Alligator mississippiensis: one gene and its partners. The protein of the gene in region 1 binds, or shares a complex with, the protein of each later gene. Links are inferred from orthologs where the notes say so. Each region holds a gene or a part of one and is shown on either strand. Other genes may lie near its edges. The genes, in order: EXOSC4, EXOSC9, EXOSC1 and EXOSC7.

Region 1 (6,749 bases):
GGCGCCGAGCGCCCGCGCCGCAGACCGAGCAGTCGAGCGCCGAGCGGCCCCGCGCCCCCCCGCGGCAGTGCGCATGCGCGCGGCTGCCGGCAGGGGGCTGCACGCACCACCAGGGGGAGCTGCGCGGGCCGGATGACATCATGCACGCCCATTCCCCGGCTCCCAGCCGCTCCCCTCGCCCGGGGCACTGCGGGGCCTCCCCCCGCGACCCCAGCCCAGCCTTGCGGGGCGCGAGAGTCCCCCTCCACGCCCAGGACCCTCAGAGCCCCATGCTCCCCAGGCCAGGGAGGCCTGCACTTGCACACTGGGCAGGCGGCACAGCTCTAGGGACAGGTTCAGGAGTGATGCTGGAGCCCCCAGGCACGGCCGGGCTGGTCCAGGCAGGTGCTCACTCAGCCCAGGCCGTGCACAGCGAGGCCGGATCGAGAGGGACCAGCAGCACCCGGGCTGGGTGTCCCCATTTCCCTGTGGCCCCCCAGCCTTCCCCGCCGTGCACAGGAAAGAAGAAACAGCCACAAGTTGCACCAAAATAACACTTTATTCAGAGCTGCTTGTCCAAAACAACACCCACTCCTACCAGGGGACTGGCCTGGGCTCCCGGCACGGCCCATGAGCCACAGTAGCCCCCCGCCCAGGGTGCAGGCCCTGCAGGCAGGCACCTCCCGCCAAGGCCCAAAACGCAGGCCGTGCCAGAGCGCAGCGGTGGTGCCCGTCGCCCAGCGAGGGGCACCGGGGTCCGTCTCCACGCGGCGAGGGGACACATCCCAGTGCTGGCCCAGCGTCCCCGGGGCTGAGGGAAGGGCCCGTGCCCAGGAGGCAGCAGTCAACCCCCACAGGCCTGGAGGCAGGTCAGTGCCCCCCCCCCGGGCGCTCACTCCCCCAGCAGCGTGGCGACTTCCCGCACGTGGTCGCGCACCACCTGGTCCAGCACTGCGTGCACGGCCCGGCAGGCCGCGGTGGCGGCGTCCAGGACGCACTCCAGGTGGTCCTCGTGGAGCCGCGCGTTCATCTCCAGCAGCGCGATCTGGTCCGACTTGGGCAGCAGGGCCAGGGCCACCTGCGGGCCCCCGGCCGCCTCCTCCACGTAGTTGAGGTCGGCCAGGGCCGTGTCCTCCACGAAGCCGGCCGAGCTGGCGCACACGTAGTCCTGCATGGGGATGCCGGCGTCGATGACGGCCAGCGTGGCCGCGTTCACGCAGGCGCAGTAGTTCCCGCCGTCTGCCTGCAGGATCTGGGGGGGGAGAGCACAGTGGGTGGGCCCGGCTGCACGGCGCAGAGCCCGGCCCCCCGCCGGGAAACCTCCCATCCCGCGCCCGCGCACACCTGCACGTAGATGTCGATCTGCGAGCGGGGGTAGAGCTGGGTGAGGATGGCGGCCTCGAAGGTCTGCTTGAGGTGCAGCGTCATCTCGCTGGACTTGCGGTCGCCGTGGGGCCGGCGCTTGCGCTCGCCCGTGCTGAAGGTGGCCATGCTGTACTGGCAGTTCACCAGCGCCCGGTCGTGCAGCGCTTTGCTGCGGGAGCCGCGCATCTGCGGGGACGACGGGGTCACGGGCCGGACCCCCCCAAGCTCTGCCCAGGGGTGGGGGGAAGGCCGCCCGTGGTTGGGTGCACAGAGATGCAGGGGCTGCTGCATGGGGGGGGGGGGGGCGCTCCCAGTAAAGCCCCTGGATGGCCTGGCCCTAGTGCCTCCCACCCCTCAGGCTAACCAGGAGCATCACCCTGGGGGGGCAAGGGAGGGGGCAGGACCCCTGGGGCCCCTCCCCGCCCCAGGAGAGGGTCTGATGGGGGGCAGGACCCCTGGGACCTCCCCGCCGTGGGGGGTGTGATGGGACAGGACCCCCGGGGGGTCGGGGGGGCCCACCTCGTGCGGGCCGTAGACCACGGCGAGCGCCTTGGTGTTGCCCTGCTCGATGTAGGCCGAGCCGTCGGCCCGCGCGAAGACGCCCATGCGGGCGCGCAGCTTGCGCAGCTCCCCGGCGCGCCGCCCGTCCGCGCGGAAGCCCTGCTCCGACAGCAGCTCCAGCCCCGCCATCGGCCCGGCCTGCCCCGCGCACTACGCTTCCCGGCCTGCCCCGCGCCGCCCCGCGCACTACGCTTCCCGGCCTGCCCCGCGCCGCCCCCGCGCACTACGCCTCCCGGCCTGCCTCGCGCGCGCGGCGTTGAGCGGGAAGGAGGGACGCTCCCGGCGTGCCCCGCGGCGGCTGCACGTGTGGCGGCCGCGCCCCCTTCGCAGGCCCCGCCCCCCGCGCAGGCCCCGCCCCCGGCGCGAGGCGCGGGGCCGGGCGCTGTGGGGACCGGGACGGTGCGGGCGGTGCTCGCCATGTCCGCGCCGCGCGCCGCCGGGTTCCAGTTCGCCATCGACCGCGGCGGCACCTTCACCGACGTGCTGGCCCGGGGCCCCGCCGGCCGCGTCCGCGCCCTCAAGCTGCTCTCGCAGGACCCGGGCCGCTACCGCGACGCGCCCACCGAGGGCATCCGCCGCCTGCTGCAGGAGGTGGGCGGCGCGGCGCGGCGCGGAGCGGCGGGCGGGAGCAGCAGACAGGACCCGGGGGCAGCCGTGCCACAACGGTCCCCCCCCCCCCGTGCGTGCAAGCCGGGCGCTCGGAGGCTGCGGAGTGTTGCCCCCCCCCCCCGTGTGCGACGGGCTTTGGCGGGGCGGGGCGGGGCGGGGGGGCAGGGTCCCCGGGGGTCTCGTCCAGCCCGGGGCAGGGCAGGGCAGGGCAGGGCGGGGCGGCCCCCGCGCAGCTGCTCCCCTGACGGGGCGAGTTGCTGCAGCCCCTGCGCCGTGGGGGGGGCGTGGTGCTCTCTGCCACGCTCGCTGTCGGGACGGGCGTGAGCCCCAGAGACAACAGGCTCAGCTCGTGCCTCCCCGCGACCCCCCGTCCCTGCTCCTGCGGCCGCTCCGCATCCTCGTCCAGGTGTCCCATCTCCTTGCGCTGCTGCGGCCCCAGGGGTCCGGCCCCCGGGAAGGTGTTGGTGCAGCTCCTTGGGGCGCGACCTGCTCCCTCCTGTCCGTGCCTCAGTTTCCCCATCTGCAGCATCAGGGCCGAGGTGCTGGCGCTGATGGCTCCCGCGGGGGCAGGAGCGAGTTTGCCCGCGGGCACCAGGCGCTGTGAAAGCGGGGGGCTGCGGGGACTGGCGTGGCCGTGATTTGCTCCCCTCCTCCCCCCACGCAGGAGTGCGGCGTGCCCTTCCCACGAGACCAGCCCCTGGACACGTCGCGCATCGAGTGGATCCGCATGGGCACGACCGTGGCCACCAACGCGCTGCTGGAGCGCAAGGGCGAGCGCATCGCCCTGCTCATCACCAGGGGCTTCCGTGACCTGCTGCACATCGGCAACCAGGCCCGGCCCTGCATCTTCGACCTGGTGAGTCCCAGCCGCACCGGCGGCACCATGCCGCGGCCCGCACCTGCATACGGAGGTAGGAGACCTGGGGAAGGATGCTGAGGGGCTCGGACGAGCTTCCCTAGGAGGAGAGTCACGAGGCCAGGTCTGGCAGTCTGGAGAAGAGACGCCAGGGGGGGCAGGAGCAGGATTTACGACGCGCTCAGCGGGGAAGAGGGAAGTCAGTAACAAATCCCAGGGACCGTCTCCGTCCCCGACAGGAGTGAGGGTCACGCGTGGGCTGAGCAGGCGGAGGTTTAACACCAGCTCAGGGAGGTCTTTCCCCTCCCAGCGCAGCATTAAATGGGGGGCTCGTGGCCCCAGGGGTGGTGGGAGCCAAGACTTCAGCCACGCTCACCAGGGCTCGGACACGTGCGTGGAGGAAAGGGGCATCGATGGGTGGCTCTGGGGCAGGGAGCGAGGGGCACGGTCTCTGCATCGCCCTGCCTGGAGCTCAGTGCTGGGGGCTGCAGGGAGAGGAACGGGGGAAAACCCTGCTCAGCTCCGGTCGCTCTCCGTCCAGCTCCGCTCCCTGCCCCGTGGGACACAGGAGACAGGCAGGATGGACTGGGTCTGCCCCAGGCTGGGGCAGCTCTGGTGTTCTTGTGACTGCTCCCCCTGCCCCCGGGCTCCCTGTGGGTCTGTTGCAGCTTCCGTGGCCTCGCGCGGGACTGCAGGTGCCTCTGGAATCGGCGCATGGCGCAGCGTCGGTTTGAATCCCCCGTGGAGGCCCTGTCCCCCCTCCCCGAGCCCCATTCCTGGGCAGGCAGGTGGGGTAGGAGCAGGGGGGGGCAGGCATGGCCCTGCCTTTGTGCCACGGCTCATAGCTCAAGTGCGAGGTGTCGCAGCCGTCTGGGCGCCCTCGTGGACCCGGCACGTGAATCCCTAGGGCACTGGCCTCGCCCCGTGGGGAGCAGGAGCCGCAGGCTGGCCCCTGCGCGCTCAGCCGGAGCAAACGCCCTTGGGAACCGGCCTCGGAGGGGTTGGTGCCGGGAAGGAGCTGGCACCGGATTCCACTGCTAATCCCGGGGCCCCTGTGCCTGCCTCCCTTTATTTGCACTTGGCCGGTGACACGGCCACGTGGCTGCAGCTGCTTTGTCCTGGCCAGGCTCTGCCCTGAGGGTTTCCACCTCCCTCTCGCTCCCTGGGGCTTCTGGATGCCCTGCCTGAGCCTCTTCCCCCTCCCCTAGTGCCCTGGGAAGGAGCTGGAGTCTCCCCCCAAGCCCTTTGTCTCCAGACCCTCTGCAGATGCTGCGCTGCTGGACTCCCTGGAGTCTGATGGGGCCGGCGAGTGGGGTTGGTCATTCCCTTGGTCCCTGGGACGTAGCTGGACCTGGTGCTCTCGTGATCTGGGCTTGTGCTGTGGGGGGCAGTAGCCCAAAGCAAGACACTGCAGAGGGTTTGGGGGGCAGGGGTCACCCTGAGAGAGCCCAGTGTGGTGGTGGCCTCAGAGCCTGCAGCCTGAGAGCTGAGCCCGGCGGGTCGGTGTCAGGCTGTGCCTCAGACGTCCTGCACGGCCTTGGCAAGTCCCACAGCCGTTCCCAGGGCTCATGCTGGTGCAGTGACTCTGGCCTGTCAGCGGCTGAGCTGACAGTCTCAGTCCAGAAGCTGGGGAATGTGGGGGGAGCCACCCCCAAATTACCCTGAAACAGGAGAGCTCACAAGATGGTGGGGATTGTATGTCTGGGGGGAGTGAGCACCCCAGGCTGGTCCTGGCACTGGGTGAGAGCAGGGGACCCCAGCCTGGGCTTGGGCCCTGGCAGCTGGGAGGGGGGCAGGCCCTAGTGGAGGGGCCAGCAGGGCAGTGTTGGGGGGCAGCCCTCTGTGCATGGCTGGTCAGTGAGCTGTGCTGGGGTGGGCAGTGACCGTGTCCTGTCCTGCCCCCATGTCGTGCCCAGGCGGTGACGGTGCCCGAGGTGCTGTACGAAGAGGTGATCGAGGTGGATGAGCGCTTGATCCCGCACCGTGCCGACTGCCGGCTCCCCGGGGCTGACACGAGTCAGCGCCTCCAAGGTGGGTCCCCAGGGTTGGTTTGGGTGGGAGCAGGCAGGCTGGGCCAAGGCAAGGGTGTTGGGGAAGGCAGTCTTTGGTGTACGAATGGGCCCCTCTGACCTGGCTCCTGCCCACTCCAGGCTCCACGGGGGATGTCCTGGTGGTGCAGCAGCCCCTGGACCTGGCCAAATTGCGGACGGAGCTACAGGGGCTGCTGGCTCGGGGCATCCAGAGCCTGGCTGTGGTGCTGCTACACTCCTATGCGTGAGTCCCTGCGGCGTGGGCACTTGGGGTGGGCAGCGACAGTTTGGGAAGGAGCACAGGGAGCTAGGGCCGTGCCTGTGCCCCGACCTGCATGCCTCTCCATGGCAGCAGGATGGGTGCTGGGGCTGCCTTGCCCACCTCCCTGCTGCCTCTGGCAGGTGCCCAGCCCACGAGCAGCAGGTGGGTGTGCTGGCCCAGGAGCTGGGCTTCCAGCACGTGTCACTATCCTCGGAGGTAATGCCCATGGTGCGAGTGGTGCCTCGCGGATACACAGCCTGTGCCGACGCCTACCTCACTCCCTGCATCCAGCGCTACCTCCACAGCTTCCGCGCCGGCTTTGTCCGGCAGCTCCAGGTGAGTACAGCTCACCACAGCACCTCAGAGCTGCACAGCGCTCCTCGCCCTTGCCTTCCTATGTGGCTGGACCAGTCTGCCCCATTCTGTGCTCCTTGGCCCTGTTCCACATGACCCGGCACCTGCTATAGACTCCTGCCCCCCCGTGCTGGGGCACCCCCGCAGCTCCCCGACCCCAGCTGCTCCCTGGCTGCCCCAACAGGACGTCCCAGTTCTCTTCATGCGCTCCGACGGGGGCCTGACTCCCATGGACCAGTTCAGCGGCTCCCGTGCCATCCTGTCTGGCCCGGCTGGCGGCGTTGTGGGCTACGCCATGACCACCTATAGCCACGAGGACAGGCAGCCCGTGATTGGCTTCGACATGGGAGGTGTGAATTGCCACGACTGGGGGTGACTGCTGGGTTGGGGGTCAGGGAGGTGTCTTGGCCAGGCTCCTGGGGGTCCAGTTTCCCCATCCCCTGGCCCTGGCCCTGGCACTGGCTTGGAGTGGGAGATGGTGGTCAGGGCTGAGATATCGGTGCCAGGGGGCAGGGGCAAACATCTGACCCATGCCCCCCTCCAGGCACCTCGACGGACGTGAGCCGCTATGCTGGGGAGTACGAGCACGTCTTTGAGGCCACCACGGCCGGGATCAGCATCCAGGCTCCGCAGCTGGATATCAACACTGTGGCGGCTGGCGGGGGCTCCATGCTCTTCTTCAGGTGGGGTCACTGGCTGCCCCGGCGGTCTCCTGGCTAGATCCTGCTGCCAC
Region 2 (7,749 bases), on another chromosome or scaffold:
CAAAAGGTTGAAGTAAGGACGGGAAAGGTTTAAGTTAGATTGGGATCCTGGTAATAGACACTCATATAGATACCATCATATGGTGCACCGATGAAAAATGTGAAGATGTACGTTTCAACTTTAATGCCTTTGTCCTACTATATTAGAGACCACCATGCAAGGCCAACATTAGCATTAGAGAGCCATCCTTTTCTGGAGAGGAGATTTAAGTGTGAGAAAAGTGTAAAAAATCCAGTTGAATAAGCAGTTTATGTGAACTTGAATCTGAAAGCTGAGGCAGCATACTTTAGCTTAATAGGAGCTAGTGTTTTAGGCACATGGATTTTTTTTGTACCGATGTATCGCAGAATCAGTGGGGAGAATGGTCTAATTAAAACAACATTAAAAGCAGAAGGCTGTTCAGGGTGATGCATGGAGCTAAACAGGAGTTAAAGATGAAGGGTGTTCCAGTGCTAAAGCTGGGACATTAAAAAAAAATTCACAAAACCTGGTAGAAAGGAGCTACAATAGCAGCAAAAGATCTTTACAAGATCTTTGTCGTAGTCTACAAGCACAAGAGAGGAATAAAGGGTAGAAACACTAGTATGTAAAGATCACCTGTCAATATGTTCTACCTTTTGTTGAGAAGGAATGTTTGTCTTTTGATAAAGTGCTTCTTGGAAAAACTATACTAATAACTAGGCTCCCTTTGTATTACATTTTAGAGCAGTTTTTTGTAGTAATTAAATACCTCATCTAGCACTTTCAAATATTTCTCCAAAGCAGCTGTTGTCAAGTAACTGCTGTTTACATACAGGAAAAAGGAGGAGCAAGGGAGGAAAAAAATGCCAGTAACACTTGCTTTATTTGCTCACGAGAAAGGAAGGCAAGTTGTGAATTTCCAAAGGCAAACAGGTGCATGTATACTGCTGGCCTTTAAACAAGAATACAAACTTAGGGTAGCAGCCTCAACCTAAAGAAAGGGACCAAAAACCATTATAAATGCTTAGAACAGAAAAATACCACATCTCTGCAGTAAAAGATCTGAACTAACTAGCGATAAAGAGAGGTTGTTAGCTGTGTTAGTCTGAAGTCAGACAGAAGGCAGGGCAGAGTTGCGCCATATAGACAACTAATTCAGAAATACGCATGTATAAGGTGCAACTCCACTATAATTTACAGATATTTGCTTCTGTAGGAAAATACCATATTTTCTTGCATATAACCCACCCCTTCTCCCAAAAAAACAGCTGAGGAAAATTGGGGTGTACCTTATATGCAAAGAAAAGGGATGCCCATGGGCCTGAAAATTTGGAGAAGGGGAGGTAGAATGTTGGGAACCTCTCACCACTACCTCCCCTACTATAACATTTCCAGACCCACAAGGAACTTCCCTCTCTAACCACACACCAGATCAGACAGGCACTTGGGGTTGGTATGCAGCCAGACTTGGTACACCAAGTCCAACCCAGCACATGGGCCCAGACGCAACATGCCAGATCTGATCCTGTGTGCTGGGTCCAGAACAATGTGCCAGAATGGACCCAGTATGCCAAGTCCCCATACTGGGTTTGAAGCCATATGCTGGCTCCAGGGCCACACATTAAGTCTGACCCCATGTACTGCCTGGGACTGTATACTAGTTCTAGCAAGCATGTGGAGTCGGACTTTCGGCCCAAGATCCAGTGCATTAGGTCAGTCCACAGACCCAACCAGCATGCAGGGCTGGCAGCAGTCCCAGCTCCCAAGCTGCTGCCACTCTTACCTCTTTCAACAAATTTTTCTTCTTCAGGTTCCCCTTCAAAGGTGAATACTATAAATGAGGGTGTGCTGTATGAGAAAAAATACAGTAGCCTGGTGTTACCTACTTACATTTATGCTAGTGAGTAGAGGTGCACTGATAGATCAGCACTGATAAAAGGAAAATTTATGTTATTGGCAATCAGCTTTTTTTGGCTGATGTGGCTGATGTCACCAATAAATGCCCCATGCATGCGTGCAACTGCACGCATGTGCACAGTCAAGAATGCAGCCTGGCAGCTTGGAGAGTAGCATCCAGCTGGTAAGTCTGTAGGGGAAAGGGCATAGGCAGATTGAGGCCCCCACAGCAAGGGAGGGAATAGGGCAGGGGCAGGCACTGCCCAGCTTGGGCAGAACACAGGACAGAGCCATGGGCGGCTCATCCAGGGGGTGCAGGTCCCACTGCTGCATGCACCCCTGGGGGAGGTATAGGGGCATGTGCCTCCTGGATTTGTGTGCGGGTTGAGGGCAGGATGCCCACTGCAGGATTGATGCTGGGGGCTGTCTGTGCTGGCCTCTTCCCAGCGGAAGGGGCTAGGCAGGAGCTGTGGGCAGGGTGGGCAGGGGCAAGGCAGGCAGCAGGGAATTCTGGGGTTGACATGCCCCCCATGTTTCCTCTGAGGGTGCGAACAGTGGTGGGAGCTGCTCTCCTCCTGCCTGGATAAGCTACCTGTGGCTCCATCTTGTACCCCACCCTGGCCAGGCAGCACCTGCCTCAGGCCCTGTTGCACTTTCTCCCTCGCTGTAGGGGCCTCGATCTGCCCTCACACAACCCTCCCCCCCTAGACTTACTGGCCAGATGCTGCTCTCCAAGCTGCCAGGCTGCATATTGGCTATCAGATCAGTATCAGCTGATATGGCTGGTAAATAATTGGCATCAGCCAAAAAAATCTTTATCAGTGCACCTGCACTAGTGAGAGACACCAGGGGTCTGTGCAATTATGCAGGTGGAGCAGCTCCTATTGTTTTTAACAAATTATTTTAGCAGTATAAGGATAAGAGTATTAATGGAGTATTGATAATGGGTATTAATAAACCCAACCATTTTGGATTTATAACTAATTAATTATAAACCCAAATCAGTAACACATCCTTTTCCCCCACACATGTATGTATTTTTCAAGGGCTATAGGATTTGCTTCCTCTAAAGTCTGCATAGCTGTCTTGAGGGTGACTACTGTAATATTCCTAAGGTTATACTGTGTTGGCTTTTTCATTTTAGTAGCTGCAGGAGCTGCATGGAGATGCCAGTTTGATCAGCCTTTAGGATGGGCTCCATCAGTGCACAGGGCAAATGCTTGGTTACATAACCATTACTTATTCCAAAAATATCTTGAGGGTCTGGTAAATGAGTTATTCCAAATACACATTTAATTTATACAGTTTTTAGAACCAATTTTCAGAAGTAAAGACAGAAGATTAAGGGTTAGAAGAGGCAGGTTTACTAGCAAACGTTTCTAAGGCTGAAGAAAAATTACAGATAGAAGGTTTTGGTTTTATTTATAATACAAGTTATGACAGGACCACCATTAATTAATATGGCAGCCCCTTGCAGAAAAGGACAAAAAATTTTGCACGAAGCCTGACACTTGCCAAAAGGGTTAAAGGCAACTACGTTAACAGCAGCAGCTCAGGATCCACCTGGCTCTCTGGATGTATCTTAAGGTAAGTAGGCATGCAGCTGAATCACTGCAAGAGGCAGCTTAACCAGCTATTCCTGGAGCTGCTTGCCTGGCTCAGCAGAGAGGAGTAGAAGTGGTGTGAAGTCCTGGATTGCCATGCAGCTCATGTTCACTGTGGTGCTTCCTTGTGCAATTCAGGTTCTCAAGTGTTGCCCCCCCTGCCCAGGCACAGCTGACCGGGGGTGGGGGGAAACAACTGGAGCCCTCGTTTCTCCAACAGCAGGAGCAATGTGTCCTCCTTGGGCTGTCCAGCTGCCATATCCTGGGCAGTTCCTGAAGCATCCTCCTGAATTAAGGCAATCAGGACTCATAGTAGAGAAGATATCTTTTATTAGACCAACAAGATGTTTGCAGAAAAATTGCAAGCCACTTAATCCTTTAATCCTTACTAAACACAAAACGCCCACATCAGGCATTGGAGAAGATTGTAAAAGTTCTCCTGGGTAGCAATGAAAGTTTGTATTTCCTAGGATTTCACAGAGGAGTCAACAGATGGAAAACTCCTAAGCGATGAACTGACTGCCCAGAGTTTTGACTCCTCTGTGAAATCCTATGAAATATGAACTTTCATTTCTACCCAGAACTTTCACAATCTTCTCCAATGCCTGATGTGGGTGTTTGTGCCCGGAAGCTTGCAATTAAAGCTTTTTTTTTTTTTTGCAAAAATCTTGTTGGTCTAACAAAAGATATCACCTCGAGTAGAGTTCTGATTGCCTTTTCCTCTATACCAATATGGCTACAACCTGGAGACCTGACTCCTGAACTAACACTCAGGAGTTAAACCTGCTATGTCAACAGGCAATGTGAATCGGCAGGGTGCTGCCATGGACAGGGATAGCCCAGCTCTCCTCACTAATATAACTGACACAGAGGCGGGCATGCCCACATCAGGACAGCAAGTATCACATTTTTTTTGTCATCATAGAAAATGCCGGTTGGGAGGGACCCCAGGAGGGCACCGAGCCCAACCCCCTGCTCGAAGCAGGACCATCCCCAACTAGATCATCCTGAGCCAGGGCTTCAAAACCTCCAAGGACTCAAGAGGCCACGACCTGTGCCAGCGTTTCGCTACTCTCCTGAACAAGCCCCTCGCCCACGGGCCCCGCCCCGCAGAGAACAGGCTCCGCCCCAGCCCGGGGGGTGGCGGGAGCACACAACCCTTAGCGTCGCCCCTTCTACAACTCAGTGGGAGGGTGAAACGTCTCCTGTGTTTTAAAAGCGGCGGCGCGGCCGCCACCCCCCCGCCCAATCAAAAAGAAGGCGCGGGTCCTGCCGGCGCCTGCGCAGTGGTATCTGTCGTACGGCTGATGACGTGACAGGGTGCGACTGGAAGACTGGTAAGTCGCGCCACCATGAAGGAGACGCCGCTGTCCAACTGCGAGAAGCGCTTCTTGCTGCGCGCCATCGAGGAGAGGAAGGTGTGAGACCAGCCCCCCGCTTTCCCGTCTTTTCCCCCCACTTTTCTCCCCGCTGATTCCACTCTCGGCCTTGCAGCGCCTGGACGGGCGGCAGAGCTACGACTACCGCAATGTGCGCGTTTCTTTCGGCACCGACTATGGCTGCTGCGTCGTGGAGCTGGGGAAGACCAGGTAGCGCCGGGCTGGGGGAGGCGCAAGGAGGTGCATGAGCAGTGGGGCGCACGAGGCTGGGGCAGCTGGGGCCGCGTGCAGCCTCCCTCAGTGACGGGAGCCGCGGCTGTAGGGCCGCGCGCAGCTGTTCGGGCCTGGGAACACGGGGGGCGCATGCGCGGTGCCTCGGGCGCGCCTGCCTGGTACTGCGCGTGCGCGCAGGGCTGCGAGGGGGTTCCTGAGGGCAGCTCCAGCCCCAACCCCTTCTGTAGTAGGGCGGGCTCTGCCCAGTGTTGCCCACTTCGTATCATCCTTCCAGCCCTTGTACTATGTACAATCAAGAATAATAAGCGTTCAAAATGTACAATGATTTTTGAGGCAGCTCACTGATGCAGGATGGGTGAAACCTGAGTCACTCTCAAGGGAGTCTTGACTGACTTCTGGGTTTGCTGTCAGCACTTTCTTATGTCTGCCTGCCTTGAATAAAGAAATGCTGCAGCTTTGACCCAGTTCTCACTTAGTGCTGAGTTACGGTGATAAATATAAAGTAAATAAGAAGAATTATTTGCATCCTGCTGCGGCCGAGGTGGTTAACGTGTGCTGGGAGATCCCCTGGAGAGGCCCTGCTACAGATGAAGGCAGGAGGCCCCTCCATCCATACCAGCCTGACCCTGGGGGGAAATTCCTTCTTGACCCAAATACATCAGTCAGTCTGACTTTTAGCAGGATGAGACCCTCTTAGCTAGGACCTTCTGGCTTTAAGTCCCAGCAAGAGTGCTGGCACACTCCAGTCTCAAACCTCAGCCATGTCTGTAGCCAACTCCTGGTTCCTCTGAGGAGCGCATGGTGGGGAAACAAAACCCTATCACATCTGAGTTGTCAGTGACTTGGGGCATTTTTACATGTGCTGTGGGATGCAGTGCCAGGAACTTTAGTTAGCAAGCTGCTCTAATTGCATGTCATGTGTATTGGTGTCCCTGCGCTGAAAGAATGGCAGCTGGGCGCTTTGAAATAGAGCTCATTGGACATGTTTTATTTCAAAGCACCCTGCCACCATTTTTTAGTGCAGAGATGCATGGCAACGCTGATGCACGTGACTCGGAAGGCTGCTGGAGTGTGTCAGTTTCCACGCTCCAGCAGACCTGATTGATCGAGCCTGCTCTGACATGCTGGATTTCCAGTGCATTGGAGCAGGCTCTGCACACATGTATAGGAGCCCTTGGAGACACCCTCGCTCCCTCTTACATTGCCAAGTGCTATGTTACCCAGGTTACAAGTAGCCTTGTGGATAGACTGCTGCTAAAAGGGGCAGAAGCAAGTCTCCAGGCCCACTTTTTATTTGCTTGTACTTGAAAATGCAAAAGCAAATGTTTATCCCAAAGTCTGCCTGGCTACCTCTGGCAGCATAGTATAGAGTCTCACTTATACCAGCTGGGGAGACGTAAGAGGCAGGAAGAGGGTGGCACGCAGATTGGCAGCAGGTCTTTTTGAATTTGATGAGTTCTCCAAATTTCCCTCCAGCTGTACCCAAGATTTACAGGTGGCTGGTTGTAATAATCTAATAAATGATTTCTGGTTGGATTGGATCTAAAGATCATGTCTCCCCCCAAAAAGTCCCTTGTGTAATAGTGCAAACATCAGTGGTAGTGCCAATACCAAGTTAAACCAGTACATGAGGTTTTACAGGATTGAAGCTAGCAGTTACATACCCTTCATGGGTGTATGGGGTTTCACAGTGTATTTAGTTGTAAAGCAGGCATGTGTAAACAAGTGTTAACATAACTTTGGATATTTAATATCCTACTTGTGACTTTGTACAGTAATCTCAAATGGAGCTTTGCAGTCCCCTATAGATGGTATCTCCATTTTTCATGCGGGGGGTGGAGGGGGGGAATATGAAAGATACAAAATTTGGTAAATTCTTCTAGCTCACAGTGAGAATAAAAGCTACATTTTAAACTCCACATAGCACTCTACTGCCTAGTTTCTGTTAGTGCCCTAGTAATGGTTACCTTGAATACATTTAGCTGTCTTGCTTAAAAAATAAACTGAAAAAATTGGGAGGTGTAAAATACAACTCATGTATGTTGTGCAGTGTTTAACTTCTTTCTGTCTTCATTCTGAAGCCTGTGCTTCTGGGGGTGATTTTCTTTTGCAGAGTCCTTGGACAAGTCTCATGTGAACTTGTTGCCCCAAAGCCAAACCGGGCTACAGAAGGTATACTTTTCTTTAATCTTGAGCTCTCTCCAATGGCTTCACCAGCTTTTGAGCTGGGCAGGTACGTGGCTTTTGCTGCAGTGACAGCAGGTAGGATTGATATAAGGATGACCATGGTGTCATTGTTCTCCCTTATTAATAACTCACAACTTAAACATGTGCATATTATGTCTTCTACAGGCAGTCTGAATTGCTGGTGAAGCTGAATAGGTTATTAGAAAGATGCCTAAGAAACTCAAAGTGCATAGATACTGAATCTCTTTGTGTTGTTGCTGGTGAAAAGGTATGAAATACTCTGAAATCCAGAGCTTTTTAACATTAGGGGTTTAACAGGTTGCATATAGGATTTGGTTTCTGTTGTCTCTTGAACAATAGTTCCTATGTTTGTTTTAAAGCTCTAGCCCAAGTGACTTGTGCATATGTAGCTCTAAGCATGTAGTTAGTGGGCCTATGTAATAGTAAATGTTTGTAGGAACAGAATACTTTAACTTTTTACTTACTAA
Region 3 (7,054 bases), on another chromosome or scaffold:
TAGTCGTTCAATGCCCACCATTGTTTCCTGCTGCTCCAACCAGGTGGGGGGAGGGCAGACTCACTGCAAAGCAGCTCCACCTGGTCCAGCCTGGGGGGGACCCACAGGTTTCACAGCCGCAGGACACTGAGCCCCTGCCATCCTCTACACAGCAACAGACCCAGGCTAGAAGACCCTGCAGCTGCTAGAGGTTGCCTGTTCTCTGCCCCAGCCCTGGAAGCCAGGAGTCCACTGCTCCCCACACCCTGGTGTAGACGGCCCAGGAAGTGCTGCAGGAGTGCTGGCACAGGCTGCAACCCCAGCAGGGCCATGAACCGGCTTCTCCCAGGCAACCTCTAACCCTGCCCCCACTCAGGGCTGGGAATCACCAAGGAGGGGAGGGGTTTGGAAAGCCTTTATTGTTCACAGCTTGGGAATCTAAAATCCTGCCTGGGGGCAGGACGGGCAGGGCCCAGGGAGCCAGAGCTGCATCCGGTTCCTGGCAGGTGTTGGTGGAGGCCTGAGTCCCAGCCCAGCGCACGTGGGCACCAGTCCAGGTGATGCTGCAGGTACTTCGGTGAAGGGGGCTCCGGCTGGCTCCTGGCTCAGGTAATCCTGCCGGGGGGCACGGGGTAGCCTAGGTCTGCAGGAACTGGGGCTGCACACGGGCCACTTTGCGGAACTCCTTGGTATGCGTCCGGGGACACTGCATCTCACACCAGCTGATGGGCACCAGCCGTGCCCCTAGGGACCAGTGCAGTGTCACCGAGAGCCCAGGAGAGCTCCTCCTGTTTCCCCATGCAGCCTGGGGAGCAGGGGACACAGCTCAGCCCACCCCAGCCACTGAAGGGGCCTATGCTGCTGGAGCCGCAGTCCCGCTCATACCTGCCTCGCCGTGGGCCACCACCACGCCCAGCTCGTTCTCGGCCGTGCTCAGCAGGTAGTTGGACTGCACGTCACCCAGCGAGATCTGCTCCGGTGGTCAAGGAAAGGGCTCTGGCCTGCAAGGTTATGTGCTGGGCGAGCAGGACACCCCCCCACCCGTGAGAGAGGGAAGTCCCACCAGGCCCTGTTGCCTCCTCGCGCACCCCAGTGAGGGCAGGATACCACCTTAGCCAGAACGATGTCCCCTGGGCGGAAACTCTTGTAAACCTCCACCTGCCGCAGAGCATGGGCTGGTTAGGGGGTGGGGGAGGCCACCGGCTCCTGGGGTGAGTACCAGGAGCCATGGGGGAGGCTGCTGAGCCCCAGGACCTGACAGCAGCCCCAGGCAGTCCAGGCCTCCACAGGAATAGACCCTCCCCCCTTCACTGGACCCCACCTCCCCCCAGAGGGATGCAAGCCATGGCTGGGACCCTCTGGGTCAGCAACACCCTTTTCCCCCCGGCCATCCTTGTGGCTGCGGTGAGAGGAGGGGCAGATGCCAGTTGTCATACGCTGCCAGCACAGGCAGGACACCACTGACCTTGTCCCGCTCCGTGGCTCGGATGTCTTCTTTCCTGTAAGGGGAGATGGGGAGCTTAACACTGGGAGTGCAGCCTGCTCCGCCCCTAGAGCCGCAGGCAGCGCTGCCCACCTGGGCTTGCCTGTGGGACCTCGCTGCAGGCCCCCGGGTGCATGTGAGGCTGGGCCTGGGTGTGGGGGGAAGGAGAGATGGAGACCCCAGAGCCGCCAAGCTGGGCCAGCTGCCTTGGAAGGGGCAGGGCAAGGGGTGGGGAGTCCTGACCCAGGCCAGGGCCTACCGGATGGTGCCGCGGAAAGCTGACTTGAGGGGCGTGGAGCCAACGTACAGGATGTGCACCTTGGCGAAGCGGGAGTTAATACTGCACACCTGCAGGGAGACAGGGCCCGGCCCACGGCTGGGTCAGCAGAGCCTGGACCTTGGTGCAGGACCTGCCCCTGCACCAGTGCATCAGCCCAGCCCAGCACGGCACCGCCACCCCGTCGCCCATCAGCCTCTGGACCAGAGCGACCCAGCGCCTGGGCACTGGCAGAGAAGCCAGCTCTTCCCCGTGCAAAGCCTCTGCCCCAAGCCAACGGCTCCAGCAACCCCAGCTCCAGAGATTAAGGAGCCCAGCATCCTTCCTGCCACCCCAGTCCTCCCAGCCACCAGTGCGAGCGGATCAGTTACCGCCCTGTGACCCCCAGCAGGGCACTGGGAGCCCACAGCCCCGTGGCTGGCTACGGGGGCAGCCCTCGGTGGGAAGCAGGGGCTCCCCGGGACCCAGACGGATCCGGGGCTGAACCACACGGCTCCTGCACCAGCCCGTGACGGGGAGACGGGCACGGGGGCTGCCCACCCGCAGCACGGGGCAAGCCCAGCCCCACCTGCCCCCCACCCAAGCGGGCTGGGCGCTCGGCTACCGTTACCTTGCAGGTGACGATGGCGCCCACGTCAGGCAGGAGCTGGGCTTCGGCGTCTCGCACCACGGACACCACGGGCAGCTGCCAGGCAGGAGGGACGTGCCCCGTGAGCTTGGAGCCGCTCGCGGAGACAGCCCCAGCGCAGCCACAGCCCATGCGGCTCCTGCACCACTCTGCACAGCCGGGCCCCCTCATCTTCAAGGCAGCCAGGAGAGAAGGCCCAGGGCCCGGCCAACCTGGAACCTCAGCTCGGCCCCCAGCACCCCCAGCTTCTCACCCCAACTCTGCCCCCCCACCCCCAGAAAGGGTCCCCGCGGCAGGCTGGGACCCGAGCCGTGCCCCCCGCTCCGCTCCGCTCCGCTCACCGGACCGCCGAGGTCGCGGGCGAGGAGAGCCCCGGCCAGCGCGGAGTGCACGTGCCCGCGCCGGGTGTAGGTGCCGCTGCCCGCGGCCGCCTCGTCCAGGCTGCACAGCCGCTCCCCTGCGGGGACGGGACGGGGGGTTAGCGAGGGGGACGCATGAAGGGCGGGCCCCGGTTGTCGGGCGGGGAGGGGGGACGACACCTACCAGGTATACAGTAGCGCACGGGCGGCGCCATGTCTGCTCCGCGCCGTCGCTACGAGAAATAAAAGCCGCCTTGCCATTGGCCTCCATCCCCCGCTCCGCTGCAAGCCGACGCACTATTGGCCCGGTCCGGCACGTGACATCCCACACGTGCAAGCGCCGCGCGGGGTCCGCCGGGACCTGCAGTTCGCACTGGAGAAGTTCCCGACGGGCCCTGCGCGCCGAGCCCCGCGCAGGCGCAATGCGAGCGGCGATGGCCCCGCGCCGCTGACAGCCGGGCCGCCGGGCCGGGATGGCGGCGGGTGAGTGAGGGGCGGGGCCTGCCGGGGGCGGGGCCAGCGCGGGGGGAGGCGCGTGTCTGCCCTTCGCACCCCCCGGGACCGCGCGCGTGGGGTCCGCCCTGCCCCCCCCGCTTCCTCCCCCCCAGCCCTGGCCCCCCAGCTCTTGCTCCCGCCAGCTCCACCCCCCAACCCCCCGCTCCAGCCCCCCCAGCCCCGTCTCCCCGCCCCCCAGCTCCACCCGCCAAGCCCCCCCTTGTCTCCCGAGCTCCAGCCCCCCCAGCCCATCCCCCCACCCCCCAGCCCCCCCTCGTCCGCCGAGCTCCAGCCCCCCCAGCCCTGTCCCCCCGCCCCCCCAAGCCCCCCCTTGTCCCCTGAGCTCACTTCTTGCCCCCTCAGCCCCTGCCCCCCCGCTCCCCCCCAGCCCTCATCCCCTGAGCTCCAGCCCCCCCTTGTCCCCCTACTTCTTGCCGCCCCCCCCCGGCCGGCTCACCCGAGCTCCTGCCCCCCCGCGCCGCGCCGCGCCGCGCGGCTCCGGTTTCGGGCGCGGCGGGCCGTGACGGGTGCCCCCGCGCAGGGCAGGGATGAGGAGCCGGCGACGCACCTTCTCGGCGGCGATGCGCCTGGCGCTGCGGTGCCTGCGGCTGGGCCGGCGGTGCCGGGGGCGGCTGGCGCGGCGCGCGGCGCAGCTGTGGAGCTACGGGCGGCTCAGCCTGCGCTCGCTGCTGTACAACTCCTTCACGGACGGCGACGTGGTGCTGGACGCCCTCTTCGAGCCCGTGTACTGGCTGGTGGACCACGTCACCCGCTGGTTCGGGGTGGTGAGTGCCGTGCGCCGGGGGGGCGGGGGGGCGGCCGGCCCAGGCCCCGGGGCTAGCGCGGGCGCTGCTCCCGCAGGCGTTCGTGGCGCTGGTGATCGTGCTGACGAGCTCCGTGGTGGCCATCGTCTACGTCTGCCTGCTGCCCCTCATCCTGCGCACCTACGCGCCCGCCTGGGTCTGCTGGCACCTCAGCTACGGCCACTGGAACCTGCTCATGATCGTCTTCCACTACTACATGGCCATCACCACCGCCCCGGGCTACCCGCCGCAGGTAGGGCGCGGGGGCTGGGGGGGCCGGGGGGGCCCGCTTCGAGCGCCGACCGCCCTTCCCTCTGCAGGCCAAGGGCGACCTCACCGGCGTCTCCATCTGCCGCAAGTGCATCGCCCCCAAGCCGGCGCGCACCCACCACTGCAGCATCTGCAACAGGTAGGGACCCGCGTCCCACAGGCCCCCCACCGCAGCACAGCGCGGTCGCCCCCCTTCCCTCCCTCCTGCAGTGGCTTCTCGCCCCAGACCCCCGGCAGGCGCTCACAGCCGTCCACTCTCCTCACAGGTGCGTGCTCAAGATGGACCATCACTGCCGTATCCTTCTGCAGCACCGGCCAGGCTGGCCCCTCTCTAGGGAGCCTGGCTCTTGGGAAAGGGTCGGGGGGTTGGGGTGCACCGAGCGCTGGGGCTGACCGTGTGGGAGGGGCAGCATAGCCCCGAGCCCTGGTGTTGCTGGGGGCTGTGTCCCAGGGCCCCTGGGGAACATGGCGCTGGAGCCAAGGGGTGTCTGGCGAGGCTGCCAGGGGCAGGGCTCAGGTGCAGACTCCAGGTCCCCGCGCACCAGGTGTAGCAGGCGCCGGATGGAGCTGCAGCTGCCTGAGACTGGGGGCAGGCGGGGGGCTGTCCCTGCCCCACTGAGTCCAAGCAGCGCCACGGCAGCCCGGCTCAGGGGTGTGGCGCGGTGCCCCCTCCTATTGTTACCCATCTTTAATCCGGGGCAGCCTGGTTGAACAACTGCGTGGGGCACTACAACCACCGCTACTTCTTCTCCTTCTGCCTCTTCATGACCATGGGCTGCATCTATTGCAGCATCAGCGGCTGGGACATGTTCCGTGAGGCCTATGCGGCCATCGAGGTGAGTGACACGACCTCGGCCTGCACGCGCTCCAGCTTTCCAGGGCAGACAGAGAGGGAGAGGCAGACATGGCCCTGGGCTTCTCTTGGCCCCGGGGCGCCTGTGCCGTGAGGCCTGTAACTGCGCCGTGTTTTCCATCCCCCCAGAGAATGAAACAGCTCGAGAAGGAGCGCCTGCAGGCAGCCGCCAACCAGGTGGGACATCCCCGCGCCCGGGGCCAGCAGGCCGGGCCTTGGCAGCTGCTTCGCATGTGCCTGCGCCTGGGCTCTGCTGCGCCTGCGGGCGCGGAGCTGCCCCAAGGGCCAAGGCCCCAGCTCGTGGCTCTTGCCTGCTGCCTGCGGGGTTCATGCCCCAGGCTGCCACGCAGCTGCTCCCTGCCCTGCTGCCCCGCTGCTTTCACCAAGTGTCCGTCTGCTCTGTGTGCGCGCGCGCGGGGCGGGGGAGGGTCCTCTTGGCTGGTCCTGGTTTCTCGGGGCGTCTGGTGGGGTTTGAGGGAGCAGAGCCGCCCCCACGGGCCTAACCAACCACCTGTCCTTCCCTGCAGACCTACTACCAGACACCGCCCCCGGCCTTCTCCTTCCGCCAGCGCGCCTTCCACAAGAGCATCGTCTACCTGTGGGTGCTGTGCAGGTAACGGGGGCGCTGGGCCCTGGGAGCAGGCAGCTCCATGCAGCCAGGCGCGCAGAGCGGGGAAGGTTGCCTGGACTCAGTGCCCTGACCCCAACCTCCACCTGCCCCCAGCTCTGTGGCCCTGGCCCTGGGGGCGCTGACACTGTGGCACGCGGCCCTTATCACCCGCGGGGAGACCAGCATCGAGAGACACATCAACAAGAAGGAGCGGCAGCGGCTGCAGAAGAAGGGCAAAGTGAGCGTAGGAGCTGGGGGGCAGGGAGCCTGGGGGGCAGGCGGCCACGGTCAGTCACCGTCACGTTCCCCGTCTCTGCTCCCGCAGGCGTTCCGGAACCCGTACAGCTTCGGCGCCTGGGACAACTGGCGGGTCTTCCTCGGAGTGGATGTGCCCAGGTGAGGGGGGCTCTAGGCCGAGCCCAAGACCCTGGTGCAGGGGGCCCAGGGCTGTGGCTTTGGGAGGCTGCAGCATTCACCATGGGCTGCATCCTTCCCAGGCACTGGCTCACCCGCGTCCTGCTGCCATCCACGCACCTGCCCCACGGCACTGGCCTGAGCTGGGACACACCCCCGTGCGTGACGCAGCGGCACACACCCCTGCTGGCCATCTGACCACCAGCGCAGACCCTCCCCAGCCTCGGTGCCCGGAGCCCTGAGGTCCAAACGCGGATGTCTGTTCTGCCCCCTCCTGCCCCTCGTGAGCTGCAGGCAGCCCCTGGGAGGGTGCACGGGGCTGCACAGGCCACGGCCCCACCAGCACCTCTGCTGCAGAGGGGGCCTTGCCTGGCCGCCCCCCTGGGTTTTTTGTGTCAAATAAAACCCGTTTTTAACCAATGCGGCCACCTCCTCGCTGTTGCCTGGTCTGGCCCAGGGGAGCCTAGCTGAACAGGCCCATGGTCCAGCTGGGCTCCGTGTGGAGCTCCGCAGAGGGGCCGGCTTGGACCTGCTGGTCTAAACACTGGTGCTTCAGCAGCCTCCGAGGAGCAAAGAAATAGGGACCTTGCCCTGGGGCGCGAACTGCAGCCAGGAAGGATGGGGAGGCAGCAGGTCGCCGCAAGGGCCACCTGACAGCCCCACCGGTCTGACGGCGCCTGCCAACACCCTGACGCTGCTGTACCAAAACACACGTGTTTATTCTGGTGGCATGTGGAGTGCGACACGTGCCTGGGCCCTGCCTGCTCCCTCCTGTGTGGCGGGGGCTCCTGGGTGCAGGGTGGGCACAGCGAAGGTGCTGCCCTCTGGTCCCGGCAGGAAGCGGGTTGGGTTAGCTTGGTGGCACTGGCGGCACGGCCGGGCC
Region 4 (7,147 bases), on another chromosome or scaffold:
ACACCGCCCGGCCCGGCCCGGCCCGGCCCGGCCCGGCCCGGCCCCACGCGGCGGCGGTGGCGCCTCCCCCTGCCCTGTCAGCTCGGCCGCAGCTCCCCCTCTGGCCCCCGCGCGCGGTCCGCGGGAGCTTACGCGCTCCAAAAGCCCGATAGCCGGGTCCTGGCCGCAGTGGCCTACAGGAAAAGGCAATCGGGACTCGTAGCAGAGGTGGTGTCTTTTATTAGCCCGCCAAAAAAAATATCTTTAATTGCAAGCTTTCGGGCACAAAAAAGGACCTGGATGCCGCGTATCGAAGAGCCAAGTTGCTCTCAGAGAGCCTCGACCCACTTTTGGGTTTGGGGTCAGCACTTTTCTTTTTTTTTACGGCTGTTTGCTGGGCGGTAGGGGTAGAAATGAAATGCTTCAGCTTTAGATGATCCACTTCTGCGCTCCCTCCCTGGCCACTTAATGCAATGCAAAGTAAATAAGAAAAAGACTTGTTTGCATAATTGTTCAGCAAATGCAGTAATTCTGAGCTTACAATACAGTCATATTTAAAACCTGGCAATGCTGCTTCCAGTCTCTTACTCCCAGTCCCTGTTCCCAGGCTCATCTTTACGCAGCTAGAGGTCCGGAGCGATGAATTCGATCCACTCCAGAGCTGGAATTGCATCCAAGTGTCTATTGACAAATCAATCACAATGTAAAATAGTATCAAGTATGTCGGTCTGAATGAGGAGCTAAAAGGAGCCCACGGGACATAGGTGATGTTATTTTACATGCCCCACGGCCTCCTCTCAGCTCCTCATTCAGGCCTATGTTCTTAATATTATTTTACATTTCAATTAGTCAACAGACATTTTGGGGGAAAATCAAACTCTTGAGCACACTGAATTCATTACTCCCGACCTTTAAGTGCGCAAAGATTAGCTTTGAGAAAGGAACCGGGAACAAGGGACCAGGAATAAGGAGACCACATTTGCATCATGGCCGGAGCCATGTCCTCTTGGCCTCTGTGGACCTGTTTGCCTGGATGCCACAGCAGCAAGGCCTCACCTGGGCTCAGGTGCAGACAGCCTCGTGGCAGAGCTGTGTATGGCAAGGAAGGCATTGCCCTGATGCAGCTGCCCAAGCATCACACCCAGCTGTCTCTGCCTCCCCAGCTTGAGGGACTAAGAGTCCATTGAGAGCTGGGAGCTTCCCCAAGGCTAGAGCAGGGCTCTGAAGCTGCAAGAAGATGTGTGTTAACTGCTCTGTTGATTTCCCCCACAAGCAATACAAGGCCTGAGGAAATATGGCTGTGCCTGACCCATTCTGCTTATTTCTTGCATTTCCCCCTTACCTGCTATTGTATTTATTTAAATATTGTTTCTTGGCCTTTTGGCTAAGATCAAGTGGGACATGGGGGCATTTGAACCTGGGGCTTCTGGGCCTGGAGCTTGCACATAGGACACCTGCCTGGATTTTGGGAATATCCAAAGCCCCAGACAGATAAGTCTGGGAGGGAGGATACTTGCTCTGTGGTCGAGCCACACAGACTTGCCGATTAAGTTCTGCTCAGTTGAATTTTGGAACTTGACTATTGGGCCTTGCCCTGTTGAATTTGGAACAGATTTGGCCTTGAGCAAGATAAAATTCTATTTAAATTGTAATAGCGGTCAAGCAGGGGCTGGCTTTTCTGGCTGGATGGTGTCTAGTAGAATGGAGTCTTGATCAGTTGCACTGGAGCATTTAAGATCATGTGGAGGTACCACTTGAGTTTATGTAGTCCAGCCCCTTGCTCAAAGGCAGGAGCATCCCTGACTCATTTAGGTGCTCCTGGGAAACAAAAAATAGACACGTATGTGCAAACACACATGGGTTTGTGCACATGGATGCCCCCATGTTACACCCAGGTTCTTAGCAGCAACTCGTAAGAACAATAGGGAAGGACAATACATATTGCTGTTTGGCCCATGTTAAAAAAAATGCAGAACCTGGCAACCTTTTCTTTGAAACCTCCTCTGTCCCTCAGATTTGGGGGAAGGAGATGAAAAACCACTGTGAGAAACCTGCCCAAAGCTGGCCAAGTTCCAGTGTTGCCAACTCTCATGATTTTTGGCATTGCTGTTAAAGTCTAGGGTTTGGGAATACAAAAACCTTAGCTCTCACACACACGCACGCGCACCCCCCCCCCCCCCGGTTTTCGCATCCCCAAAGCATAGACTTTAAGAGCAACGCCAAAAATCATGAGTTGCCAACACTGAAGTTCTAAACCTTTGAAATACTGCACTTTGCTCATGCTCAGTAGATAAGAAAGCTTCTTTTGACAGTATCACAAAAATGCTAACCACAGTATGCTACTCCTTGAAGATTAAAAAAACACATACATGATGTCCCCCTCAAAAAACCCTATGTTAAAAGAATGTTAAGGTTGCAAAGTCAAAATGCTCAAAATGTAGGAAATTCCGAATGAAGGTAACCTGTCGAAGCTCAGTTTAGCAGCCCGATGGTGCCTGTATCGTTATGACAGTCACTAGCTCTAATTACAGCTTCCTGGCTAGAGCATCTTATTCTTCTGCTCAGGGTCAAATTGATCGCCATATTTGGGGTCAGGAAGGAATTTTACCCCATGATCAGGTTGGTTTGGACTGTGGAAGTTTGTCTTTCTCTGTAGCCCTCTAGTCCCAATCTCTTGAATCTACATTGAGAACATTTCTGTGCCAGGTTAGGGTGCTGGGTCTGTATTCCTTCAGGGTTGATGGTAGTCTTACGTAGAGTTTAGATTATGGTTTGTATAGGGTGGTTTGGATAGGAACGATCCTGCCTCAGGCAGGGGGGTTGGACTAAATGACCTCTGGAGGTCCCTTTCAGCCCTACTGCTCTATGGTTCTATACTATGTATTCCAGATGACTGCCTGCCTCATCCCGTGCCCAAAATAGCAGACTGGCCATAGCAGAGGTGCTCACATTGCAGCCCTGCCAGATTCTAATGAACATGCAAATTCAGCTAAATACCTCTCATCAACAACCTCAGACACGACATGAGAAGCAGAAGTACCCAAAAAGACAGAGCTCATTGGATGAGCTATTCACTACTTCTCCTTTTAGTTCAGTTTGAATCCCTGTGTTTGATTTGTCACACCCAATTCAAGCGCTGCTCTGAAGACAGAGCCATAATTTCCATCTAGGGTTTCCTGTAGGCCATAACAGAAGTGCTTATGGCGCAGCCCTGTCATATTCCAACAAAACTGCAAATTCTGCTAAATACCTTGTCACTAGGACTCAAAAAAGGGGGCTTCCTATAGCTGCTATAGTGTTGCATATGGCATGTAAGCGCATGGTATGCTTAAATGAACTTATTTTAAGGAAATTATTGGGTATTATTATCCCCAGTTCCATCACTGAGGAACCAAGTCTGAGAAATTACGGTCAGACCTATTTACTACTTTTAGGTCCCCCCAGTTTGAGACACCTTGGACACCCCACCCCCCTATTATATAAGGTCTTTAGATGTCCAAAATACAAGTCCCTTTGACCAGGGCTCAAGAAACACCCAAGAAGGAAATCAGTTAGACTACCTGACCTGTGAGAAGCATAAATGAGGTGACCCATAGGATCTCCTGCATCAGTGTTAAAATTCTGCCATCTCCCCACTTTGAGGCATTGTCTTTGTAATCACCATGTTCTTTCAGTGTCCCTGGGGTGTGTGCACGCATGCACCTTCTATGTGACTCACCCGCACCGTGACTCAGTGCAGGCTGCACCTCCATCAAGAGATGCAGCAGGTGAAGCTGCTGGCTTAAGATTCATTTCTTGTCCCCCCTCCAGAGACAGGGACAAGCTGAGTGCTGCTGTGCATAGCTGCAGGGGGTAGCTGTGTTGATCTAAGATCAGGGTAAACAGGGCTCTTTGGGTAAATGTGGTATCTTGCACTGCCCCCTGAGCCTGCCCAGCCAGCACTGCAGGCTCTCACACTGGTTTCTATGTTATGCACTCAGTGGATTAGCGCTCAGAGACTACGATGCGCCATTACGGTGGTAGGCAGGTAAACCGCGTGTGCTCAGCCGCCACCTATACGCACATACGTTTTTCCAAGTAACACGGATGCGCATGCGCAAACCCTCAACTTTCCCTGCGCATGCGCCCAGTTAGTGCCTCACTCCTCACAGTTCCTTGAGGCGGGAGAGCCTGTGACGCAGGGGGCGTCAGTCGTTCCACCACGCGTCACGGGGTGGAAGTTACGTACACCCGATGCTGTGCCTCACGTCGGCTGACAAGGGTTCGAGGAACTTCGTTGCGTTTTGATGACGGCATCCGCAGTGAGCCGGAAGTGTTTACGAGCCGGCGCGGGGCATGGCGTCTGTGGTGCTGAGCGAGGCGGAGAAGGTTTATGTCGTGCACGGGATCCAGGTAACGGGCTCCCCTCCCCCAGTAGCTCCGCCTCGCTGCTCCCGGAGCGCCGCTTCCCCCCTCCCAGCCCCATGGAGGTGCCCGCTCCTGGCTCTCACTCCGTGTGGCCTTCAGGGGCGCGAAGAGACCCCGTGGGCGGACTGGTTTAGGCGCAGGGGATTGCTCTCTGCAGTCCTGGGCTTTGTCTTGTGAGGGAGGGCGGTGGTGCGCTAAATAGTGGGGGAGGGCGCCGGGGCTGTGCACCTTGAAGGCTCACAAACCTGTGTGTGTGCACGTGGGCATAGGTAGGCTTGCTTTGGTGAAAGCTGCCCTGCCTTTCACATCTAGGCATCACAAGGTTTCATTAGCTGAAGTGTGCTTCATAAAGTGCTATGAAAAAGAAGCCAGGCTTTTCACTAGGGGTGCACCAATAAAGACTTTATTAGCTGTTACCCATAGTTAATTATTCACCAGGCATGTCGGATGTTACTGACTTAATAAGTGATTTACAGGAGCACAGCTGGGTGGTCTAGAGAGCAGCGCCCTGCAGGTAAGTCTGGAGGGGAAGGGAAGGAGCGGGGCAGATCAAGACCCCCAAGGTGAAGGAGGGAGCGGGGCTGGGGCTTGCGGCACTGCCCATCCAAATCAGTGACTAGGACCTGGGGCATGGAGTGGGACAGAGCCGCAAGTGGCTTGTCCAGGGTATCAGCATCCTAGTGCTGAAAAATGGTGGTGGGGGCATTTGAACTAAAGCTCATCAAATGAGCTTTAGTTCAAGTGCCACTGCCACCCTTTTTAAGCCCAGAGCAGAGCCAAGCAGGGCAAGGTTGGATGCAGGTTGCCCACTGCAGGCTCGGGGCTCTCCACTCTGCTGCCTTTGCCTGGGAGCCTCACGCTGGCCTCACAATTTGCCACCCTCACTGCTGCCGGGAGGTGCAGGGCTCCTGGGGAAAAGGCAGCAGGGCAGAGAGCCCTGAGCCCACAACAGGCAGCCTGCATCCGCCCTACGCACAAATCTGGAGGGACACATGACCCCACAATGCCCTCTCTGGGGCTTGCACAGTGATGGGGAGCCATCCCACCCCTCCCCCCACACATTCCTTGGACGAGTCACCCATAGCTCCGTCTTGCCCTTGCCCCAGGTCCCATTCACTGCTCTGGCTGGGCAGCATCCCTAATTCCTGCCCCACTCCCTCCCTCACCATGAGGGCCTTGATCTCCCTCCCCCATGCTCTTCCCGCCCACCATAGATTTACTTGCAGGGAGCTGCTCTCCAGGCTGCCCGGCCACATTCCTGGCCATGTGTATGCGTGTGGCCATGCATATGTACGCGGCGTAAGGGAGTCCTGGCCAGAAGGCATAATTATTATATTTATCAGTGAACTTTATCAGATGCACCGGACCAAAAAAAGCCAATAGCTGATAATGTAAACTTCTTTTTTATCGGTGCCAATCTGAAATGCAGCTGATATATTAGTGCACCTCTACTTTTCACAGTGTCTGATAAAAGTGCACTTTAGCTCATGAAAGCTTGTGTTAAATATACATGAAAGGCAGGGTAGATTTGTGCTAAATATATTACAGGCATAGTAGAAATATATGTGACTCACCCTGCATCTCGTAGACTCACCAAAGTATGTATGCACATGCATGCATGTGCGCATCCAGTTTCGTGAGTCTACAAGGTGAAAACCTCTCAACATACATTTTTATCCCACTTTTTATGTATATTTAGATATGAGCCAACAGTGTGCCCTTGTTGCCAAGGAGGCTAACAGCATCCTGGTCTGCAGTAGTAGGAGTGTTACCAGCAGATTGAAGGAAGTGATTATTTGCTTCTTCAGCACTGGTGAGGTCACCTCTGGAGTATTGTGTTCGGTTTTGGGCTTCCCACTACAGAAAGGATATGGACAAGTTGGAGAGAGTTCAGTGGAGGACAGTGAAAATGGTTAGGGGGCTGGGGCACAGGACTTGAAGAGAAGCTGGGGGAGCTGGGTGTATTTAGTCTGCAGAAGAGAAGACTGAGGGGGGATTTTATAGCAGCCTTTAACTACTTGAAGGGTGGTTCCAAAGAGGATGGAGCTAGACCAGGGATGGACAAAATATGGCCCATGGCCCGGATCCGGCCCATGAGGCCATTCTATCCAGCCCATGGGGCTCCTAAAAAATTTAGAAAATTAATATTTATCTGTCTTTAGTTCATGTCAAGAGTAACTGGAACCAGGGCCAGTAGGTCCCAGGGGAAGCCCAGTGGGCTCCTGCCCCAGCAGGGGCTTCTGACCTGGGACCATGTGGCTGCACTGGCCAGAACCTCAGGTAAGGGGTGTGGGGGAGGGCAGGGAAGGAGCCTGGAGAAAAGTGGTCCCTCCCCAGCCCCATGGGCAGTGCTCCCTGCTGCAGCTGCTTGCAGCCCGCACAGAGCTGTCCTGAGCAGGCAAAGGCAGCCCCACGCAGACTGTGAACAGCTGTGGTGCAGGGCATCAGGCACAGAGTGAGGGAGGGGCCTCTTGTCCCCACTCTTGTCCCTTGGTGCTGCGTTCAGCACCAGCTTGTAACCCACCCCCACTGCCAGCCTGGGTCCCGCGCCAGTTCTGGGCTTGCCCTTTGGGGCTGTGCACAGTGGCAGCAGCTGTGCCCACCCCGCCCCCTGCCCAGAGCTTCCGCACTAGGCAGCCCAGAGGCAGTGGTGGTAAACACCGCTCGGCTCAGCAAGCAGGGGGGGCTGCAGCTGCTGCCACCAAGGCACAGCCCCGACGGGTGAGCCTGGAACCAGTGTGGGGCCCCAGCTGGTAGCAGG

Evidence for each region.
Region 2: EXOSC4 (region 1) and EXOSC9 share a complex: the UniProt entries of both Homo sapiens proteins name them as parts of the RNA exosome core complex. The link is inferred for Alligator mississippiensis from reciprocal best matches to the Homo sapiens genes EXOSC4 and EXOSC9.
Region 3: EXOSC4 (region 1) and EXOSC1 share a complex: the UniProt entries of both Homo sapiens proteins name them as parts of the RNA exosome core complex. The link is inferred for Alligator mississippiensis from reciprocal best matches to the Homo sapiens genes EXOSC4 and EXOSC1.
Region 4: EXOSC4 (region 1) and EXOSC7 share a complex: the UniProt entries of both Homo sapiens proteins name them as parts of the RNA exosome core complex. The link is inferred for Alligator mississippiensis from reciprocal best matches to the Homo sapiens genes EXOSC4 and EXOSC7.

What each region holds. Positions count from the first base shown.
Region 1 is NC_081826.1:912,172-918,920, reverse strand, and holds EXOSC4 (exosome complex component RRP41), read right to left. Parts: upstream 2,084-6,749; 5' UTR 2,035-2,083; coding exon 1,864-2,034; intron 1,531-1,863; coding exon 1,324-1,530; intron 1,232-1,323; coding exon 872-1,231; 3' UTR 520-871; downstream 1-519. Other genes in the region: OPLAH (5-oxoprolinase), read left to right, coding at 2,323-2,496, 3,179-3,370, 5,287-5,401, 5,521-5,644, 5,803-5,998, 6,201-6,366, 6,561-6,699. UniProt on the Homo sapiens protein: Non-catalytic component of the RNA exosome complex which has 3'->5' exoribonuclease activity and participates in a multitude of cellular RNA processing and degradation events.
Region 2 is NC_081825.1:114,556,084-114,563,832, forward strand, and holds the start of EXOSC9 (exosome complex component RRP45), read left to right. Parts: upstream 1-4,730; 5' UTR 4,731-4,813; coding exon 4,814-4,879; intron 4,880-4,955; coding exon 4,956-5,050; intron 5,051-7,187; coding exon 7,188-7,307; intron 7,308-7,426; coding exon 7,427-7,529; intron 7,530-7,749. UniProt on the Homo sapiens protein: Non-catalytic component of the RNA exosome complex which has 3'->5' exoribonuclease activity and participates in a multitude of cellular RNA processing and degradation events.
Region 3 is NC_081829.1:100,691,114-100,698,167, forward strand, and holds EXOSC1 (exosome complex component CSL4), read right to left. Parts: upstream 3,013-7,054; 5' UTR 2,942-3,012; coding exon 2,911-2,941; intron 2,825-2,910; coding exon 2,709-2,824; intron 2,425-2,708; coding exon 2,350-2,424; intron 1,811-2,349; coding exon 1,722-1,810; intron 1,479-1,721; coding exon 1,445-1,478; intron 1,138-1,444; coding exon 1,087-1,137; intron 950-1,086; coding exon 865-949; intron 724-864; coding exon 617-723; 3' UTR 380-616; downstream 1-379. Other genes in the region: palmitoyltransferase ZDHHC16, read left to right, coding at 3,770-4,006, 4,083-4,277, 4,345-4,433, 4,561-4,589, 4,997-5,130, 5,277-5,324, 5,675-5,760, 5,872-5,995 and 2 more. UniProt on the Homo sapiens protein: Non-catalytic component of the RNA exosome complex which has 3'->5' exoribonuclease activity and participates in a multitude of cellular RNA processing and degradation events.
Region 4 is NC_081828.1:136,669,016-136,676,162, forward strand, and holds the start of EXOSC7 (exosome complex component RRP42), read left to right. Parts: upstream 1-4,143; 5' UTR 4,144-4,314; coding exon 4,315-4,371; intron 4,372-7,147. UniProt on the Homo sapiens protein: Non-catalytic component of the RNA exosome complex which has 3'->5' exoribonuclease activity and participates in a multitude of cellular RNA processing and degradation events.